Linked DNA regions of Drosophila melanogaster. The protein of the gene in region 2 interacts with the protein of the main gene of each other region in a pairwise test. Each region holds a gene or a part of one and is shown on either strand. Other genes may lie near its edges.

Evidence for each region. The genes of interacting proteins can lie anywhere in the genome.
Region 1: the proteins of CG8997 (region 2) and apt interact in a two-hybrid assay, tested with the Drosophila melanogaster proteins (one large-scale study listed by BioGRID).
Region 3: the proteins of CG8997 (region 2) and CG6220 interact in a two-hybrid assay, tested with the Drosophila melanogaster proteins (one large-scale study listed by BioGRID).

What each region holds. Positions count from the first base shown.
Region 1 is NT_033778.4:23,595,044-23,600,083, reverse strand, and holds apt (apontic), read right to left. Parts: upstream 3,493-5,040; 5' UTR 3,337-3,492; coding exon 3,286-3,336; intron 3,193-3,285; coding exon 3,087-3,192; intron 3,025-3,086; coding exon 2,764-3,024; intron 2,701-2,763; coding exon 2,454-2,700; intron 2,392-2,453; coding exon 1,557-2,391; 3' UTR 558-1,556; downstream 1-557. Other genes in the region: CG42559 (uncharacterized protein), read left to right, coding at 1-26; CG42560 (uncharacterized protein), read left to right, coding at 134-204, 264-327, 390-536.
Region 2 is NT_033779.5:13,843,374-13,847,258, reverse strand, and holds CG8997 (uncharacterized protein), read left to right. Parts: upstream 1-1,933; 5' UTR 1,934-1,996; coding exon 1,997-2,066; intron 2,067-2,130; coding exon 2,131-2,843; 3' UTR 2,844-3,344; downstream 3,345-3,885. Other genes in the region: CG7916 (uncharacterized protein), read right to left, coding at 1-84, 140-305, 376-481; CG33306 (uncharacterized protein), read left to right, coding at 3,553-3,631, 3,687-3,885.
Region 3 is NT_033778.4:13,691,150-13,695,265, reverse strand, and holds CG6220 (uncharacterized protein), read left to right. Parts: upstream 1-1,896; 5' UTR 1,897-1,990; coding exon 1,991-2,728; intron 2,729-2,964; coding exon 2,965-3,306; 3' UTR 3,307-3,559; downstream 3,560-4,116.

The DNA.
Region 1 (5,040 bases), on a different chromosome or scaffold from region 2:
AATTCAAAAAGAGTCTCGAAAAATGACCTATCAAACGGTAGGCTATCACTTTTAAGTTTGTCAATATTCCACCTTGAAATACCTCATCAGTTACTATAGTAAATTCCAAATTATCTTCCTCCGTAAGGATACAATGCTGAAGTTGGTCGAAAAGCTTTTCCAACTGTTGCGACCCAGGATGTGTCAGTTTTCACAATCCAACAAGTGAGTTCCGTGTTCTGAGCACTTATGGCTTCGCTTATTAGATGCATCTCTGTATCCAGGAACATATCCAAGCATTTGTTCGAAAAAGCCAGGGCGGAGGAGAACATACATTTCCTTAAACTGGTTGGTTTGTGATCTCAAAAAACGAAAGTAATCTATTTAAATTTAATTGCAAATTTACCCAGCAACGGGAACAGCTGAAGTCGTTGCGAGAAAAGATTCTCAGCCAGAAGAACGAAGTCACAACAAAGATCATCAAGGTGGATAAGCAGATACAATCGTTGGAAAAAACCAAGACCGAAGGCTCACAGATGAACCATGAACAAAATTAATAAAGTGTAGCTGAAACATTTGCTTGTTTTGTTTTGTATTTTATTTAAAATAATTTGTATCTCTCATTTACACGCTTTACAAAGAAGTCTTCTACGACAACTGAAGCCGAGTTGGCGGCCTTCTTCAAGCCTGCTTATACGTAGGGTACATACATATCATATATTATATATGGTAACAATTTGTTTTGCAGCGCAAACGGAAAATATGAATTAAAAAGAACTTTCATGTAATATGGCATTGAAACAAACATATATAGGGTCATATATATATCAACATAGTCTATACAAAGATACAAATAAATACAAGTTCAAGTAAGAATCAAAATCAGAGACAACTGCCGATTGTGTATGATGCATTGACATATATAAGGTTCTTCTCTTAGGACTATGAAAAATAATCTTGTGTGCATTTCATGTTCGTTCAAATCGTTAGTTGTGGGGTAGCAGAGGTCAAGAACGTAAGTACAATACATTTGTGGTAGTTGAGCAACTTGGAGAGAGTGGTTCCCATACGAACTAAAACTAGAAACTAACTAAACTTGACTTGACTTGGTCAAGTGCTGGTTAGGCCAGAAGAGAGTGTGTCTGTGTGTGTGTGTCTGCTAGCTGAGTGTGTGCATATTGTGTGTGTGTGTGTGTGTGTGCTTGTGAGGTAGGCGATTCATCATCATCATCGTCATCATCATCATAAGATTATGGCATACTTCCGAGCGCCTCCTGATCCTCGCTGGGGTTCTTGGGTTCGGTTCTGTGTGTCGGGTTTCGCTTCTAGCTTTCAAATACTGATCAACAATGCCAGGAATGTCTCTCTGTGTGTCGGGTCTGGATGTGTAGCTGTGGATCCTGCTTTCAACTTAAGACTAACTCTAGTGCTAACTCTAGTCGATTCCCAATCACGCTCTCTGCCTGCGAACGTGACCGAGTTGACAGGCTTTATTTCTATAAACTAATGTAACATGAAACGGCGATGGGCTGCTGCTGCTGTTGCTGCTGCTGCTCCTTTTGCTGCTGCACTGCCTCCTAACTGGGCAGTCGCTTGCTGGCCAGCTCCAACTGCAGCTTCTGCAGCGCCAGTGTCTTGTTGATCTCCACTAGGTCGCGACTGTGCTTTGCCGCCTGCAACTGCACCTCCAGGATCTTCATGCGCATCATGTGCTCCTTGCTCTGCATCTCCATGAACATGCGCAGCTCAAAGTTGTTGTTGTTGCTGCTGCTGCTGTTGGCATTGGTGCTGACTGCCGTTCCCGGCATGGTCAATCCATTGCTGCTGCCGGACCGCTCTAGGGCCTGCGAGTCCGAGGATGCTGGCACTGATGGGGCCAGGACTGGTGCCTGATCCTCGCTGCCCAACATGCTACCACTGCTGGTGCGCTGTCTCTTAGACTGCGGCTTCATGCTGTCCTCGTCGTCCTCGTTGTTGTTGTTATTGTTGTTGTTGTTATTGTGCTGGTGATGCATGGCGACCTGGGCCTGTGCCTGGTGCTGGTGAATGGCGGCCGCTGCCGCTGCTGCTGCACTGGGAAATTGGCCAGAACGGAGGGCATTCAGTGCCTCCAGCGTGGCGGATATGTTGTTCATGTTGAAGTTGGCCTGGAAGCCGGACATGTCACCTCCTCCGGCCATATAGGCACCGCTCGAGTCCAGGACATTAGATGTGGAAATCGTGGCGGGACTCTCGGCCTCGTGGATCCCGTTGCGACTGATGCTGTGATTAGGCGACACACTGAGACGCTCGCCGCTGCCAAGGATGTCGCTCTGGTTGAGGTGGTGATGGTTGAAGGTCTCGTTGAAGGTCTCGTTGTTCTCCTCCTCCTTGATGTCCACATCGCACAGTTCCTGCGGCGGTGTGCGGCTGCTGCTCAAATAGAGAATGCTCAATAAAGATCTATTCAGACTACCACATAGCGATCAACTTACTCATCCATGTCGTGGTCTTCGGGATTGAATTTGTAATCCTCACGATACTCAAAACCCTCCTCCAAGGCCAGTGGAATCTTAGAGTAATCAATGCCATCCAGGGCCTCCGATTTGCATGCCTTCTTCGCCTCCTGCATGAAATCCCACACCTCGAAGGTGAACGGAGATGGCTTCTTGCGATCGGCCACCTCTGCTCCAAACCTGGCCAGGCGATTATTGTAGTCCAGGATCTCGTTGCGAGTACATGCTAAAGGATGAGATCGAAAAGGTTAGCTTTGCCATTAAATATATGTATTTTATAAAGACTTACCCTTCATGCGACGCCACTGTTCCTTCAGGCGATTGCAGGTGCGATCGGTGCCAAACTGATTGGAGAACTTCTGGTGGATAATCTTCCATGCCTTGTTCTTCACGGCGGTCAGACCGGCATCCAATCTCTTGTTCTCGATAATGCGCATGTCCTTGCGACACAGATCGAGTAGGTATTTCTTCTCCTGGTGGTTCCAGTTCTGGGTGCGTTCCCTCTTCTTGTACATGTTCATGGAAGGACTGTTCATGTACTGTGTCATTTCTGCAAGCATTCGATGATTGAATTAAGTTCCTTCAACGGTCACTTCGTTTTGTTTAACTTACCCGTCTTTATGTCGACGCCCTCCAGCAAGTTGTGATTGGAATTTTGCCAGTTGGCGGCAATCTTCATAAAAGCCTCCAGATCGGTGGCCGAATACTGTTTGTTGACCTGCAACGGAAGCAAGAAGCGAGTGGCAGGAGGTGAGAAATCAGTGATTCGTATTGGGAGGTAACTAGTAACTGGCAAGAGTCCCCAAATTACCCGCACAGTGGAATTAGAAGCCCCAGATTGGCCTTCCCAGTAGTTGAGCATACAAAACTTGTGCCAAATTCCGCACCAAACGAAAGCGATTCGCGGGACGCACTCGAAAACCCAATGAACTTGGCGATGAATACTGCCAAAGTCGAAAGCAATCGAAAAATTTGGAGTTTTTCGGTAATTATCAGAGTGTTACTTGGGGCACATCAATTGGGTTTTTGTTTTCAGACAGTAAGGTCAGTGAAAACAAAAGGATTCTGATTCGGATTCTGAATCTGAGTCGTTGAGTCTTGAATTCCTTCTCTTGTTTTCATTCCCTTATTCCATCGAATTTACCCTACCCTGGATGATATCTGACTTTGACATGAGCAGCTATAGGATGCAGTCACATTAATTGATTTTCAATTAGCAGACAGGCGGACAGATGAACCGAGCGGAGAAGGGGGGGAAGGAGGTGTGAGCGATATCGGGGGTATATGGGTACGAATGGGCTAAAAAGAATGTGAATATACGAACAATCGAATGAATTGAGCAGCCATAAGACGAAAAAAAAAAAAGTAAAAAACCATCAAATAATAATGCCATGAAACGCGTTTTAATTTATAAGCTAACACAACAAGCAGCTGCCGACATTTTGTTTGTTTCGAAAATGTATCTGTGCGGTTGCTCGGTATCCGAATCCGAGTATTGGTGCGATTGAGTGGAGCGATCAAGAGACATACTGACAGCCAATTATATCTAATCAAGTACATATATATTCAAATGTACTATATAAATATTCCAGAATGTGCATTTACTCAACGCGTTCTTCGGTCGCTTTCTGGCTCCTTCGATTGTTCCCCCGTCTCGAAATCAGACACAAAAATTCCCTCATAATTTAGTAATAAAAGAATATTAACTAAATTGGGAAGAGCATAGAATTATCAATAACCCTTTGCAGACAACACGAATGCCCAAATCCAAAAAAGAGCTCAACTGTACTTGCCATATATTGTCTTCATCGAAACTCTTTCATTGATCGCTCCCCCAAAAAACACAATCGTCAATCTTAAGTACGTTTTATGGTGCTTTATTTTATTTCAATTTTGTTCAGTTCCTTCCGTGCCCCTCAACTACCCCACCCCCACCCCCCCTGCAGCCATCGAACACCCACAACTCTTGGGTGTATAAACTACTGCGCCATGTGTTCAATATTTATGCCGTATCTGATTTACAATTTATACTTATACTCGGCACTCGTATGTGTACCTCGTACACTCGAACTACGTATCTAGATACATACGTATATATGTACATTCGCATTTATCGCGTACTCGAAGACTGAAAGGAGACTTAGTCATTGGAGACGCGGCGCGTGCGCTTATTATTTTTTATTATTTGAGCTCTTCCTATATACATATATAAACTCATATTTATTAGCAAACAATTAATTATTACGGCCGACTATTATGGAGCTGTTTAAATTTTAGTCATGAGCTGCGGGGTGGTTAAACCGCTCCTTTTGGGAAGATACACGCAGAGAAAACGATATGCTGATTTGAGAAATCAATAGATTCTTCAATGGGAGGTTCTCGTACTTTCAAGCCCATGAGATGCCAGAGTTTCTGTCAGTGCATTCAAGGAATGCCAGAATCATTTAAATTCGAGGCGAGTGCCAATTATTCGCCAGGGTGGGGCTCCAGCCAAGTTAGTCAAAGATGAAGTTCGAAGATGCCAACTGTGAAATTCTGTGCCCGAAAGAACGCGCTGCTCTCCAGG
Region 2 (3,885 bases):
CTAAAGGTGTAGCTGACCTTCATCTTCTTGATCTCCATGCCTTCCAGGCCATCGAAACGGAAGCGCAGGAACTGCAGCAGGGTACTAAGGATGACTATTAGATCCACTGATACAATCACTCCAATTAATTATAACTCACTCGACAACCGACTCGGCCAAGTGGATGCGGAGATCAGCATTGGTGTAGGGATCCAGTGGTGGAATTCCATATTGGGGCCAACCACAAGGCATTTGGTTCAGCAGTCCATTGATGGCCTTCTTCACCGATCCGTTCAAGATCAGACCCTGAGTATCGGGCTTGGCGGCTGTTTGCGGGGAATCACATTGCAATTAGTCCTCTGTTTGGTCAGGTGATGGATGGCTTAAGACACTTACGATTACGCGCCACCAGCTGGTCCCATTGCTCCTCGGTGAGCAGCTCCACATCGTAGGCCGCTACGCAGGCCAAAAGGGTCACAAAAACACAAACGATAGCTTTCATTGTATAGCCAGCCACCTGATTGATTGTCCCAGCCGGTCAGTGGCTTTTATAGCAAAGCTAGCGGATTCGAAGGGCAAGCCGAGGGGAAGGGAAGGGATCACTTAACCAGGTTAACAAATACAAATGCTAATCGCTACTTTTGATTAGCGGAGCTGCCATGAACATAACGCCCAATTCACGATAGGCTTCCGATTTAAAAACGAAGGAATCAAATCATTCGGCAAGTGGTTTGTAAAAAAAGGGAGCACTTGTTTCGCCTGAGTGGCTTGTTTTGGCCTAATCTCGACGTCCAATTGGCCAATCGATTGTCAATATCACTTAAAGAATATATATTGCCTATCATTGCGATCTGGATTATACACAAATAACTGGTCTACCGGGGGTAAAACTGCGTCAACCACTCCATGCAGGTGTCGGCGGATTACACTGGATGACCGATTCGTATCACTCAGTGGGGGTAAATTCTTTTGTCTTCAGAGCTTCAGTGGCTTTTTTGTACTCTTTAGAACCTTAAAGGCGTACTAAAAAGTGATTTATTGCTATTCTGATTACGATTTTACAAGGGGAACTAACACAATGGGTAAACTACTTATTGATAAACATATTGGGCTAGGACTGGCGTTAACTTTAAAGCCAATAATTCGTTAAGAGAGTATTTGACTAGCCATCAGGTGTTAATCGTCTGGATTTTTTTATTAATAGATCCATTCGTAAGACCTTTAAATACCCCAGTCGAGATATCATTCATAAATCACTCAATGCACTTAAAAATCACTTGATTGTTAATCAATAAACAAACTTTTCGCAGACTTTAGATCCGCAGAAGTGCATGGAGAATTTTAATTCCAAACAGACTTCTTTAGAAGATTATAATCATGCTAAATTTTTGGTAGTCGTTTTCAATTTTGATAATTACTTTGTTAAAATGTTTCCTATTGGCTTCAACACCTGCATGACCTTAAAATATCGATTGATGGAAAGTTTTCGTAAGACCATACATTTAATGTATGAGTACTCTGTAATCGCGAAACTAATGATTTTAAAATCTTGTTTCCAAGTCAACCACTAATCCTACACCTTCTTTTTTAGAAAACGTTTTAGAAAAACACACTTTTTTGAAGCCTTCTAACCATAACAAAGCGGGGACACACCCCAAATAGACTTTGATCTTGACACTCCTCCACAAGAAGGCAATGTTTGTACTTTAGTGAAAACTGTCTTTTTAAATCTGATCATTTCCTTAGGATAAGTACCCCCATGTATGTATATATAACTAATCATTAAAATTAAAAAATTTGCCAACCGGGGAATCGTTGGCCGAGATAAGACAGCAATAGGCCATCGATTGAACGCCCGGTGGCTAATCAAATCGTTCACGAGTACGAAGCCACCTTATCACAACCCCACCTGAAATGTTGATCGTCTATAAAAAGCGACTCGTGCGACCGGACGACTGAGTAGTATAAATACCGTAGGTACTACGATCAGTCGGTAGGACTCTCAGTCAAAGCAATAATGAAAATCTTCGTGGCTATTTTGGCTTTTGTGGCCGTTGCCAGTGCGGCTTCCATGGGCCAGCCCATTGGTGAGTATTCCAGATGATTTCCAATGCCCAAATATTTAGCATACCTATCCATTTGATTCTCTAGAAACCCAGTCGATCTCCAGCACGATTGTGGATGTGATCGAGGGCATTAAGGAGCAGATGCCCTGTGGCTTTACCAGTGTCGGCCTGCCGCCATTGGCTCCTCTTAGAATTGACCATCAGGATATCAACATCGATAGCAGCGTGCTGAAGGCTCAGGGAACCATTGATCACTTCCGCCTGAACGGTCTGAATGATTTTGATATCGATGAGATGAAGGTCAACGCCATCACCAGCAAGGTGACCTACAAGTTCACTTTCCGCGACGTGAACGTGGATACCCAATACGATTTGAGTGTGCTGCTAAAGAAGTACGGATTTACCATCAATCTGATCGGTGCCGGACATGCCAAATTCGCCATCAAGGATATGGTTATCTGGGGCACTATGAAGTACTCACTCGGCGTGATCAGCGGCAACCTGAAGCTGAAGTCATTGGAGGTCCGCACCCACTTGGGTGAGGTTGATTCCGAGATCGAGGGCATCCTGGGCGATGGCAGCATCAACGAGAAGATGAATGAGTACTTGGCCGAGGCCGTGGAGCTGGCCATCAATGAGAACGAAGATCTGATTGCCGATACCATCGAGAGTATTGCCCTGCCCGCCGTCAACAGCGTTCTGGACGACATCAGCATCGCCGAGATCATCTCCGGTGCCGGTGGTGATGGTGAGGGTGGAGAGAAGGAGGCCTGCATTCCCCCCGAGTTCGAGTGGTAAACAAATCATCGGTCATTAAACAACCGTTTATGAATCAAGAATTCGTCACCTGGCTCTTTTCTTGCGGGACTGGCTTTCGGTGGGTTTTTTTTTGTTCATTGCATTGGGAAATTTAAACGATGTTTTAAAAAGCTTAATATTTACAACATCCATCAGCTTTCATTATATTTCAAAGACGGTCTAATCTCAAGTTGTGTCCTATCTGTCATAAAACACTTTGCCAAATTATTTGCCGATTAATAAAGCTACTTCACATGCACAGAAAAAAAATGTAGATTCATACAAAATAATATAATAAGATATAGCGATTTTCAGAATATGATTTTTATATCAAAGGGAATATCTTAGAGCACTGTACTCAATACCTCACCATTTTGTGTCAATAAACAATAATTTTGATATGAGAGGAATGCCCCTAATATTTCTTTAAACCTTTATAAACACTAATTATTTAAGAATAAATAACAAATTGTTCCATATTTCAACCATGTTTTTGTAAATATAAGCCAAGAAAGCATTCACTGTTTATTCACTGTACATAGAAGTTTTCCTAATATTAAAATTTTTTAATCTAGACACTGATATTTTTGTGCTGTGTACCGATAGATTATCTCAATGGTCATTTTCCTATATAAGAGGAATGGATTTGGCAAGCTTCGACTAGTGGATTTTGATTGCCAAAAGGGTTAACTAGTGTTCTGTGCTAAGAATGAAGTCTGCATTCCTGATTGCGCTTATCGTGGCCCTGGCCAGCTGTCAAGGTGCCGAAGTTGCCGAACCTTTGTCAGGTGAGAATATGAAGAAAATTTTAGGGAAAATTTAATAATCATAGTTAATTTTCAGCCCAAGGACGCTCTTTCTCCAGCGTAATTGTGGACGGATTGGAGGCATTCAGGGTCGTCCTGCAAAATGGTAGCCCGAGATTTGGAATCCCCGTTATGGCACCCATGAAGGCGGCGCAGAGGTCGTTCGAAATCAACTCGGGAGAATTCAGTGGCACCTTTGGAGTCGAGAACTTTGAACTTCAGGGGCTCGATCAGTA
Region 3 (4,116 bases), on a different chromosome or scaffold from region 2:
GCAGCCTGCTCGTCCGCCGAGGGTCGTGTGCCGTAAACGGGCCAACGCTGCGGCTACGTATTAAAACGAGGGAGCCGCAAACAATAATTGGCCCTGGTTCGTTCGGGAGGGGAATTTTTGATGGCCTTGTCTTGTCACTGAGGCGAAATTAGTTGCCAGTTGGGATGTTGGGTGGGGCGATCGCCGAAGGCGAGTGAAACTCACTTTTTCCCATTTCCCTTCTGCCGGCTTTTCCTTGCTTTGATGCGATTCCATGCAGTTGGGTGCAAATCGCTGGCCAGCGATGATTTCATTTCCCCGCTGGCAGATGGTCTATGCGTGGTCGCATTCTTCTCTGATTAAATTTGAAGTTATGCACTCGCATCTCGTGTTCGCTCCGCTGATTCTTTGCAAAAAAGAATTGTGAATGGAAATTCTAAAAAGGGCATTCCCTATCTATGTCAGTAAGCCATTCTTTTCAATTTCAATTTTCCGCATTGTTTTCGGGTTTTTTCTGGTCATTCTGGTCGCTTTTTTTAAAGCTTCCCTCTCGCTACATGAAATATAAATCCGAAAAATGTGCCTGTCGTTCAAATACCGCCCATACCATAATGTATTTTTTTTTTCGCCATAATGCTATAAACTTAATTAGTGCTGAGCCGAATGAGCAATCAGATCATCCCGGCCATTCCCGTCGGTTTAATTAACACGCCAAAAGGCCGTAGACGTAAGGTGAGCCTTTCGGTTCATCGCGTTTTTTATGCCGCATTCTTAACGCGGCCGCGCCGAAAAAAAATGGAAAATATGCCGGGAAAAGGCAAGGCCCCGCCAGTTGGCAATACAATTTGCTGTGACAAATGCGGCCATAAACAAAAATGGCGACAACGATGCCGCTGCCGCAGCCGCCAATCCGCCATTCAGACATTTTCTAGTGCAGCGCCAGCGACAAAATGGCTGCCACAAGAGTCTGGATGAAAATTTCATTTCCCAAGCTGCGATGGCGATGGCGATGGCGATGGCAATGGCGGCGACCTTTCACGGTATTTATCACACGCGAAACGAAACCCGTCTACAATGCCACCCGCTCGTTTTCGTTTTTGGTAATGAAATTTCGCTTTAGCAATTACGGGCAACCCCTTCGGGCCATATACACATACATAAATACATATATAGCTGCGATAACTGGGGAATCCAGCCAGCTAATAGCTTTTGAGGCTAGCTGGCTCGCTGGCTGGAAGACTGGCTGACTCGATGGATGCATAAATTATGATGGGAACACGAGTGTCCTCCACCTCCCCATCACCCCTATTGCAGAAATCAATTTCAGGCTTCGGCGGCAAAACAAAGCGATGCTGTGGAAAAATGCAAGAAACAGCCGAGCGGAGGAAAACAGAAACAAAATTTATAAAAATATTTTCATGCCTTGCAGCTAAAATGTTATTAAAGTCAATAACATAAAGCCGGGACAATTCCTTTTGCCATGCTTTTACCAGGACGTGGGTGAGGGTGAAACTTTGTCAAATAAAAATAGCTTACAAATAAAAACAACTCGGGGCGGAAAAATAAAAAAAAAATATATAAATAGGAACGAAGAGGAGCGGGACGAACAACTGACCAAGGCAATGTAATAAAAATAAATAATGGCTTTGACAAAAAATAAACGATGGCAGCGAGAAAGTTTGAATATTTATGAGTTTTTTATGTGCCAACAAAGGAGGTGAGCCAAGAAAAATCGAGTTTGTACAGTGAAACTCATAACAAGGAGCAATTTGGCAATTTGAATTCATAGAATTTGACAGCATTTCATTTATCGAGCAACACGGTCATACTAATAGTATATGGCAATCGAAAATAGTTGGCTCTGAACTTTTAATCGTATCAAGTTTTAGTCATAAAATCATTTGCTGCAAGGTGTTGTCAGAATCGGAGTGCGTATCGTTAAAAAAAAAAATATATAAATTTTAACAAGCTCAAATTTGAGTGTGCGAATCAAGCGTGAAAAACAACCGAAATGGATCCTATTCTAAAGACCCTTACCGAGACCATGACCGTGGAGGCCATCGCAATCATCAAGGCCAAGCGCTTGGCGATGAAGCAGAGCGTCGATAAGAACGCCATGCAGATGAGGGCCCAGGAGCGGGAGAAGGGTCGTAATTTGGATAACATGCAAAAGGAACTGGGCAGGCGGGCCATGAAGCGGGAGCGACCGTGCCGCGTTTTCGAGGAGCAGCTGCTGGGCGAGAAGGAGATGACGACTGCTCAGGAATACCTCAAACTGGCTCACCATTCCATGATGCGTAGCTTGGACTCTACGGTGCCGGAATTATCACAGCTGGAAATGCCGCCCCCGCCGGAGATCATGACAGAGCCGCCTTGGCCAAAGACCAAGTACAATCGCTATGGCCAGGAGAAATTCCTCAAGGCACAGCAAGAGTTCGGCATAAATCCGCAGGGCAGCAACTTGGAGAATTGCGCGACTTTTCACGAAAGTCAAAAGGACAAGCGCAACCGATCTGTGAGTAGGGAAAGCATTGAAAGGTCGAGAAGCAACAGCAAGGATCGTCGCTCATCGAAGCTTTACGCACGAATGCCCATCATTGTGGTTCCGGATGCAATGACCAGCATGATCAGCCTGAACAATATCAAGACACTGCTCGAGGAGTTGCACTACGAGCCAGAGCGTAACGGCCGGCAGTCTAACCCTCCTGAGTGTCGGCCCAAGGAGGTCATAGTCGAGCATCGATTTCAGGTGGGTTAAAAAACTATAGTAGCTTGAAGTTTGTAAATTTACAGAGTTACTAAGTACGCTTCTCTTCGCTCTTCTACTTATTCCACTGATGCGGTGGAGAATAAGGAATTTTTCATTCTAAGTGCTTCGCTAATAGTTATGGCTAGCTGTATATGCCTTGGTATTGGTTGTTAGAATTTCTAATAAGTGCATGCCTGATCGATAGATTAATTACCTTTATGAAATGCAAATTTCAGAACGAGCTTGTTAGCTACCGGGTCATCGACAACGTGACCAACCTAACACCCGTCGAATGGGATCGGGTGGTCGCCGTGTTCGCCATGGGACCCAAGTGGCAATTCAAGGGCTGGCCGGATGGCGCTGACCCCGCCGCCATCTTCCACAAGGTCTGCGCCTTCCATCTGCACTTTAGGAATACGCCGATGTGCCCGGAGCTGACCAAGCTGCAGGTGCACTCACTGGCTCTCTCGCCCACCGAGCGCCATTCGGACAGCGGCATCATTATGGAGTTCTGGAACAGAGTGGACCGACACATGGCCGTCCATGCCCGTCAGTTTGCGTTTATCTGGCAAAAGTAGGGTTCTTGTGATTACATTCCCCCTGGCGCACATACATACATAGATGCCAGATAAGCAGGGAAATCAATAAGTGAAATTGAATAAGCCAGAACAAAGGACGAAGGACAAAGAGTGACAACACACACGCACACACACACACACACACACACACACACACACACACACACACACACACACACACACACACACACACACACACATGGGGCGTTGCTGCGTTAATAAAAATTGAGCGAAACGGGCGCATCAGAGAAATATATCACGTTTGTATAAAAATCATATAAAAACGTTGCGAAAACTGCAAACTTGGCAAGAAAATTAAGAGCACAAACAAGTTGGAAAATGGGGAAAATTCGGATGGTAGAGGCGGTCGGGAGCGGGGAAACTTGGCACGCGTGAGACAAAAGCTAAATGACACACAAAGGAGCAGTTGTGTGCGTGTGTAGCGCTGTACTTATGTAAGTCACTGTGCGTCCCACAAAACGTAAAGCTGTCAACGGCATTCAGCAGAGAGTGATGGTGAAAACAGAAAAATGGGGTGGCGATAAGAGCATGGGGCTCTATAAAAATCGCTGGGAAAATGACAATTTTTATGCACCACACCCACACATATACACACAGGGTAGAAAACACATGTGTGTGTCTAATGAAATAAACTAAGTGCCAAGGCATTTGCATGTGGGTGGTGGGGTTTTCGAGATGAAGCAATTGGCAGGCATTGCAGGCAAATGCACTAAGCGTTTTAACAGTAAAACAATAAATTTAGTTTCACGAAAGTCGATGAACTTGTGCTGTCTCATTCGCTACATATTT